Linked DNA regions of Oryzias latipes. The protein of the gene in region 2 binds, or shares a complex with, the protein of the main gene of each other region. Links are inferred from orthologs where the notes say so. Each region holds a gene or a part of one and is shown on either strand. Other genes may lie near its edges.

Region 1 (3,296 bases), on a different chromosome or scaffold from region 2:
TTCTCCAACGCATAAGGGTGAGTTAGGGGGGCGTATTTGAGACGCAGGCGTGTCACGCAGATTTTTGCACGTTTTTCAACCTCGTTAACGAGCTCGTTAATGTTCACATGAGTCTGCGCTCCTTGAGCACATCCTGACTGTCGTGATGCGTTCGCACCAGAACTACACAGTTTCCAATGAAAAGTCGATGTAAACGCGCACAAATGCACATTTCTGGCTTCAGCGTTCAAACTTTTGATTTCACGCGTAACTACGCACGTTTTTTAGTCAGTCTTCAGGCTAAATGTACGTCTACTGAGCACAGATTCAAAGTTAAACCAGTTGAACTTTGATCCATCAGGGACTCGGGTTTGGATGGCGTCCTTTCCAAAACCAACCGTTTGATAGCACTGTGTGGATTAATGACGTGGGAGCCCTGAAGCATTGTGGGAAACGCAGTTATATATAGTTTTTCTTAGACCAACTGTTTGACAATTGATCACGGAGGTCAAATGAATAATTGCAGTTTGTGCCTGACTGGAGTTCTGCGACGCCAAGGCTTTCGTATATCGGAATGGAGCTGAGAGAGAAAGAGATTCACCAGATTTACACCGCTACGACATTTCACACCAGGCTTCTACACTGTAGGGATGTCCACTAGTATCAGGAACGCCTGTTCATCACACAAACAACAGATGACATTTACAAAATAGATCCTCCTTTAATTTTCAAGAAAAACCTCCTGACATCAGGTCTTCTGCTGCAACAAATGCACTGAGACACAGTGATCTGTTAATGCAGAGTGAAGAAGACGCTGATGTGTGATGGATTATCCACAGCCTGACCTTTGGAGGCATTTCTGGTTAAGGATTAGAAAAGAAAGAGAACAGCATTTTGGCTGTTTTATGAAGAGCTAAAAAGAAAAAAAAATAACTAAGGAACATCACCATCAATGTTCAATCGACAGAAACCCTTCCAGTTGTAAAAAATAATCCAGATGTTAATCTGGCATGGAGTTCAATCACGTGACTAAACAGCCTTCATCATGGCCGCCCGGACCCTCCACCCGGCACCGGAACCGGGAGCACTGCGGTCTTGATCAGGTCCTACATCTTCAGCCCCCTCCTCCTCAGGTCCTCCCTCGCCTCCCTGATCTGCTCCTGCAGCTCCTTCGCTGCTGCGTCACAGTCGTTGAAGGTGGCGACCCGGTATCCCACGGTGGCCAGAGAGAAGCAGCCGAACGACACCAGCAGGTAGAGGGGCATGGGCCAGGCCACCTCCCGGTACGTGTGCGGGAGGTTCAAGTCCAGCAGGTCGAAGCTGACCAGGGCCCACAGGCCCCCCAGCAGCGACGCCCCGAACAGCCACTGCATCAGTTTGGTCATGGTAGTGAGTGACAGAGTGAGGAGTCCCGCCGCGGCGCCTTCCGACCACCTGCGGGAGGGAAACCCGCGACTTTATCGTGTTTAAAGGCCACCAAACAGCCTAGCATGAACACAGCCGCGAAAAAAACACGAAAACAAGATTAGAAGAGGCAATTTAAGGCGTTAAAATCGCGTTTTAAGCAGAGGAAACCGCCGTGTTTACCTTCCTTAACGCCAGCTCAGCTCTGCGCGGATTAATGACGTAAGATCCCTGAAGCATTGTGGGAAACGCAGTTCAAATCGTTTTTCTCAGCTCTCAGCACAGCGTTTACTATTCGTCAAGGGAAAAAACGAACTTTTACATGTTTTTTTTTTTACAAAAAACCCACTTTATACGAAAAAAATTATAGGAATATTTATTAACATTATATGTATTTATGTGAAAATATAAAGAGTCTTACAACATATTATTTAAATCTGTTTTATATTTACTGTTTGTCCTAGCAGTATAATAAATGATTTCTTTTCTACAGTTCAATGTTTATGTAAGCCCTTTTTTCGTTTTTTAACAAATATAACATTAGTTGATTTCAATTCTTATCCGTTATTTGTCTTTTCGTAAACAAACATCCATCATATTTTTGGCTCCCAGAGAACTCATGGGGACACATTTAGTAACGTTTTTGATAAGTTTTTCAATTTAAAAAACGGTAACAATATCATACATTTCTATTTTTTTATTTAAAAATGTAACTTTTTAAAATTATTTTATATTTTCCTTTCTATTTTTTCTTTATTCTTAATGTTTAACATTTTTATGTAATTTTAATGGCTGCTCCCCGAAATAAAGAAATTCTTGTTGGGCTCTCTGGTTAAACCCTCAAATGTGTTCATTTACCTATTAACATCTCTGTTGTTTTTCACGCGTTGCGTCTGTTCACAGCAGCAGTTCTCACTTAGCTGTGAGCAAGAATATCATTTGTTTCCACCGAGTCTTTAATGATGCTTCCTGTCAAGCTTTCACCCCACATTAGTCCTGAACTCTTTTTCATCCTCATCGTCCTAAATTAAAGCCATTTGGAAAATTACACATCATTAGCACCACTAAAAGCTACCATGAATGCTAATGTTGTTTTTTCCTAAGCAAAGAATGCACCAACAGTTTAAGCAGAGGCCAGGCCAGGTTCATGTGTGTTTAATTCCCATAACTCCATCAGCGTTGTGCAGCGCGGGTTCAGTTAGGCTGCTAACTCAGCAGGTGCAGACGCTTTGCATCTCTCTGGACCGGCATGAGAAAAGGGAGGAGATGGAAAGATCCTTCATGCAAACAAAACACAAAGAGAAATAAACATCATTCTTCTGGACAAATGGGGAGCTATTCTTAGGACAGGGGTGTTTAGGTTTGAGTGCACTGCTGCTGATACTGGGAATTATGGTGGAAGCGGCGCTGGAGCCTTTTGCTTCTGTCAAAGGAGACGGTGACACGGCGGGGGGGGTGCTCCTATTTGTGATGAAGCCTTTAAAACAACATCTGCTGAAATTATCAGTTGTGTTTTAATACATAGTATTTACATGTTTTTTTCACTCATCTGCTTCTTCTTTGACATTTTTCAAACTGCCACCAAAAAACACAAATAGATACAATAAATACAGCTTGAAGATCTGATCAGTCACCAGAATTTCTTATACAAGAACTGATTATGGGTGGATGTATTTATGGATGGATGAAAAAAAAAAAAAAAAAAAAAAAAATTTATGGATGGATGGATGGATCACCAACAGGTTCCTCCATTCAAACCCAAAACTAAATTAAGTCAATTCTGTTGCCATTTTTTCGTTATATGGACACCGCCATGTTGGAGCCAGACGTCGTCAGCAAGCAGCGATTGGTTCATGTCAGTCTAAGTCATCGTTTCTATGGTAACCACTCTCTCCAATCAGGAGTGAGCTTGT
Region 2 (4,567 bases):
ATTGTTTGATTTTCTACAGATGACTCTTATTATGGCTACCAGCCATGATCTGAGAGTACAGAGGGGATGAAGGAGCTCCACCTTGAAAAGACGCCCCCAAAGAGAATGACTGATGTGGGCATTCAGAACAGCATGTGGAGACATGAAAGGAATCACTACTACAATTTCTGCAAACAAAACTGCTGAAATATGATTGATATTTATAAAATGAAAAGACAAAAATCTTCCTAAAGGAAACCAGTCAAGAACACTGTCTGAAGCACTGAAGCCTTTTGTTTCTTTTTCATTGTTTTAGTGCATTGTATCACATCTAACTGTTGTGCTTTTCTTCTCTGTGTGTTTTGGTTTATCCTGAACTGCCTCAAACACGTTTATTATTCTATGACATGATACTGTGAGGTTATCTAATGTAAGATAGTTTGTATATTTTATTTGCTGCATCTTTATTTGTGTATATTTTTTACAGTAGAAATTCTAACTGCTAATTTATCTTAGTTTATGGTATTTTCATATTTTTGTAGGTCATGGGCCATTAGCATTGTAAACACGAGTTTAGAATGTATTGTTATGTAAACGTTTTTAGGAAGGGAGGAAGATGGAATTTTATGTTGTTTTCTTTAATAAAGTTTCCCAATTTTCGTCTTATCAATTTAGTGTTATTATTAGAATAGTTATAATAAAACTTAATACAGTTTTATTTTCTTTTTTAACTTCTAGGAAAAGATTTGCGTTCACAAAACAGAAGAGGAACTTAATTTGGTAAACCGTAGTTTCCAGTGGGGTTTATTTTGAAGAGGACAACCCACACGAAAGTTAATATTTGACTTCCGTTTTCTGAAACAGATTTTCAAAGTAAAGGTTTACACTGAGTTCAAAAGTGTACTGTATCGCGTGGCTGCATACGTAACTGCTACTCCAAAAGTATTTTTAAAAGTTCCAAAATATTTCTAAGGTTTTTTGCAGGTTACTCGAGATCATTTTTTAAATAAAAATATACATCCCACACTACGAAAGTAACAAAAAAGGTTAACTTAATCAATAGATATAGACGTAAAAAATGCGAACAAATAATTTATATCTGCTCATAGAAATACGTTTAAATAATTTATATTTCCAGATAGAAATATGCTAAGACTTTTATTTGTCTTTTTACTGAAAGCTTTATAAATTGGCACAAGTCTCTCATATTGGTGCTTTATTGTTTGATAATTTATTGTCCAAAACCCTTTTAAAACTTTAGTCAGTTGGCAAGTGAAAAGGCACAAGAGTTGTCAGACTATGAAAGGAAACAAACTATTTATGTATTTGGTGTCTGTCGTAAGTTTAAATCCATTGGGTGGCTTGGTCAAAACATCTTTAATAAAAAATACTGATTAAAAATGTGTTATTTGGGGGTTGTCCAAATTCACAATATTTCAAATAATTTTCTCACAAAACCTTTGTCAGAAGGAATAAGTCAATTTAAAAAAAATTGAAAATACACCATACGGTTTAAAACCTTATTTTGAAAGGTCAATTCCGGAAGTAAAGTTTCTGTCTTTTGCTGTTGCGGTTACCAGTGTGTCGCGTCGCCATGGCAAGCCGTAAAACTACACAACCGAAGCGGGACACCGAGGACAAATACTCAATTCTTCTTCCTACCTACAACGAGAGGGAAAACCTGCCTTTAATAGTTTGGCTTTTGGTGAAATATTTGGGGGAAAGGTAGGTCACTGGAACAGCCAGAATATAGCTGCTCGGTTTGGTTAGCGTTAGCCGCAGTTAGTTAACTCCTGGCTATGATGAGCTGTCACTTCTCTGGAGAGTCAACAAGTGTCCGCAGCCTCTAAGCTCTCAGTGGTTGCGGCCAAAAGTGCTTCATTAAATATAGAGAAAGTTTTCCACTCCGCTAGCGATCTCGTTAAACGGTTCTTTTGTTTGTTTTTTCTTTTGCAGTGGCTTTAACTATGAGATAATTGTCATCGACGACGGAAGCCCAGATGGGACACTGGAGGTGGCAGAGCAATTGCAGAAAATTTATGGAGGAGACAAAATAGTAAGTTAAGGTTTTCTTTTATGCTAACGATTAATAGAAGAAAATAAGAACGTTGATGCTGTTTCCTCTTTATTTAAATGTCCAATGTTGTGTGTTTTAGCTTCTACGCCCAAGAGAAAAGAAATTAGGACTCGGTAAGTGTTATTCCCTTAAAAGTGGACATGTTTATTTCTGGACTTCTTTGTGAATAGCTTTTCTTTTCCTTCAACAGGTACTGCCTACATCCATGGGATGAAGCATGCAACCGGGAACTTCATCATCATCATGGATGCCGATCTCTCTCATCATGTAAGCCGAGATCACTTTATTTGGGTTGGGAACTTAAGGCTTTTTGTCGTCTCTTTACACCATTCAGTTAATCATGGTGGTTTTTCTGTTTCACTTAGTTTGTTGTTGTTTGTTTATCTGAAATCTGATTTCGGAGGGATGGTCTTATTGTTTCTGCCTTTTTTCTTTTTTTCATTTCAGCCCAAGTTCATTCCTGAATTTATTCAGTAAGTGTCTCTGGTTGTTTTTTAGCTACACAATGAGACACATAGCCTCACGTTTGAATATTTTTTTTCTCTTAGAAAGCAGAAAGAGGGAAATTATGATGTTGTGTCTGGCACTCGTTACCGAGGTGACGGGGGGGTGTACGGCTGGGACCTGCGCAGGAAACTCATCAGGTAAGAGCCGTTGGAGTCCCCCGCATCTTTCTGTTGGTTTGTTGAAAGACTGACGCTTTACGTTCCGTCACTTCATCATCTCCTGGAATCAGTCGAGGGGCCAACTTTCTGACTCAGGTGCTGTTAAGGCCGGGGGCGTCAGACCTCACAGGCAGTTTCAGGTAAATGAAATACCGGTGAGTGGATCTGTGGCTGCGTGACGTGTGTGACACGTGTCGCTCACGTCAGGTTGTACAAGAAAAGTGCTCTGGAGAGTCTGGTGGAGCGGTGCGTCTCCAAAGGCTACGTCTTTCAGATGGAGATGATCGTCAGAGCCAGACAGCTCAACTTTACCATCGGAGAGGTGAGCTTAAAGCTTCTCGTTTGTATTTTTTATTTTGTTTGTTTTGAAAAAAAGAAAAATGTTTTTAATCAGGAATTTATATGTTTCATTTATCTTTCAATTAATTACATTGTTGCTGCTTAATAGAATAAAATATAATATATTATATTATGTATTTTTAGAATAGAATAAATGATGTTAAGGCCGGGGAGACTTATTATTTAAAGGTCCTATCAATGAGGTGCAAAGGTAATACCATGTCCTAAATATTGATACTAAGCAGTCGTGATTAATTTTTTTATGATTTTGATCCATTGGGTTTTTAACTTAAGTTTCTTTTTTATCCATTTTCTTTCTAATATTTGGATCAGAATTCTGTTTGTTTATTCTGTACTTTCATGCGACTGTTAGGTCATGAAACTACAGAAAACTGCCTTTTCCTGTGGTCTTTTCGGTGTTTGTTGTTGCATACAAACTGTTAGCATGGTTCAATAATCTAAATTAAGCACACAACATTTCTATTACTGAATATTAATAAATACTAGCTTGCTCCTTTTAAATCACAAACCATTTATTTTCTGACTTAAAAACAGAAAGTAGTTCTTCAGAATGTTCTGCAAACAGTTTCAGCTTTAGAGATTTTTTATTGTTTTTTTTTTCTCTTTACTTTCAATTTCAAATGATTAAGAAAGTCTTCATGAAATCTTGAAAACCATTCCAAGCATCTGCATGTTGCCTGTGATCTCAGAGAGATGCGGTTGGGCTCTAGTCTAGCGGATGAGTCACCTGTTGTCATGGAGCTTCTTCTGCTTCAGCTCAGAGCGTTTAGGATCAGAGTGAAAGCATCTGCGTGAACAAGCGGAGATGCGCTCGTGAGTCTGAAGATAAACGAATGAGCTCAGAGCCGATTTCCGATTCCAAGGCAAATGTTTACTGTCTGATGCTGACTGGAGACTCAAAATTGGGTTTGTTTTTATTAGTTTTGGCCGCGGCTGGCAGCCCCTATGAAGAATCCTGTAGTCCAATAAAAAAGTATTGCACTTTTTTTCTTTTCTTTCTTTATTTGAAAATTCAAGCTGTCTCATGTCTTCCTGGAGTAGTGCACATCTGTTTGGTTGTTTCTGCAGGGAAATAACTAAAGTTACTGCTTAAAAAAACGATTAAACATAAAAAAACATGCCTTGGGTTTATATTTTTATAACCTTAATCCGTTTAATTTCATAAATCTCAAAATTAAATTGAACAATATGTTTATTTGATCAGTTTATTTCATAAAACACCTAGTTGTTTCACACAAAAGATGCATTAAAAAACAACGAAAAAAAATGTTTTTTAAGAGTATTTTAATTCAATTTATGCTAATCTTTTCTAAAATAATTAGACTGTATATTTTATATGGGCACATATAGGTGATATATGTGATTTATGTGATTTATTACGATCCGAACTCTTCATCCTTTACTTCATTAGTTTATTTAATGGAAGCTCAACAAACCCTTATGTCCTAAATGTTTCAGAGACATTAAAGTTCTTGTCTTTGCCAGG

What was found.
Region 1: dpm1 (region 2) and dpm3 share a complex: the UniProt entries of both Homo sapiens proteins name them as parts of the dolichol-phosphate mannose (DPM) synthase complex. The link is inferred for Oryzias latipes from reciprocal best matches to the Homo sapiens genes DPM1 and DPM3.

The regions. Positions count from the first base shown.
Region 1 is NC_019869.2:1,108,794-1,112,089, forward strand, and holds dpm3 (dolichol-phosphate mannosyltransferase subunit 3), read right to left. Parts: upstream 1,656-3,296; 5' UTR 1,567-1,655; intron 1,465-1,566; exon of another isoform or gene 1,414-1,464; 5' UTR 1,365-1,413; coding exon 1,086-1,364; 3' UTR 676-1,085; downstream 1-675. UniProt on the Homo sapiens protein: Stabilizer subunit of the dolichol-phosphate mannose (DPM) synthase complex; tethers catalytic subunit DPM1 to the endoplasmic reticulum.
Region 2 is NC_019865.2:4,536,692-4,541,258, reverse strand, and holds the start of dpm1 (dolichol-phosphate mannosyltransferase subunit 1), read left to right. Parts: upstream 1-1,531; 5' UTR 1,532-1,573; coding exon 1,574-1,704; intron 1,705-1,935; coding exon 1,936-2,035; intron 2,036-2,135; coding exon 2,136-2,169; intron 2,170-2,246; coding exon 2,247-2,323; intron 2,324-2,503; coding exon 2,504-2,529; intron 2,530-2,604; coding exon 2,605-2,700; intron 2,701-2,792; coding exon 2,793-2,861; intron 2,862-2,928; coding exon 2,929-3,043; intron 3,044-4,566; coding exon 4,567-4,567. Other genes in the region: col20a1 (collagen alpha-1(XX) chain), read left to right, coding at 20-48. UniProt on the Homo sapiens protein: Transfers mannose from GDP-mannose to dolichol monophosphate to form dolichol phosphate mannose (Dol-P-Man) which is the mannosyl donor in pathways leading to N-glycosylation, glycosyl phosphatidylinositol membrane anchoring, and O-mannosylation of proteins; catalytic subunit of the dolichol-phosphate mannose (DPM) synthase complex.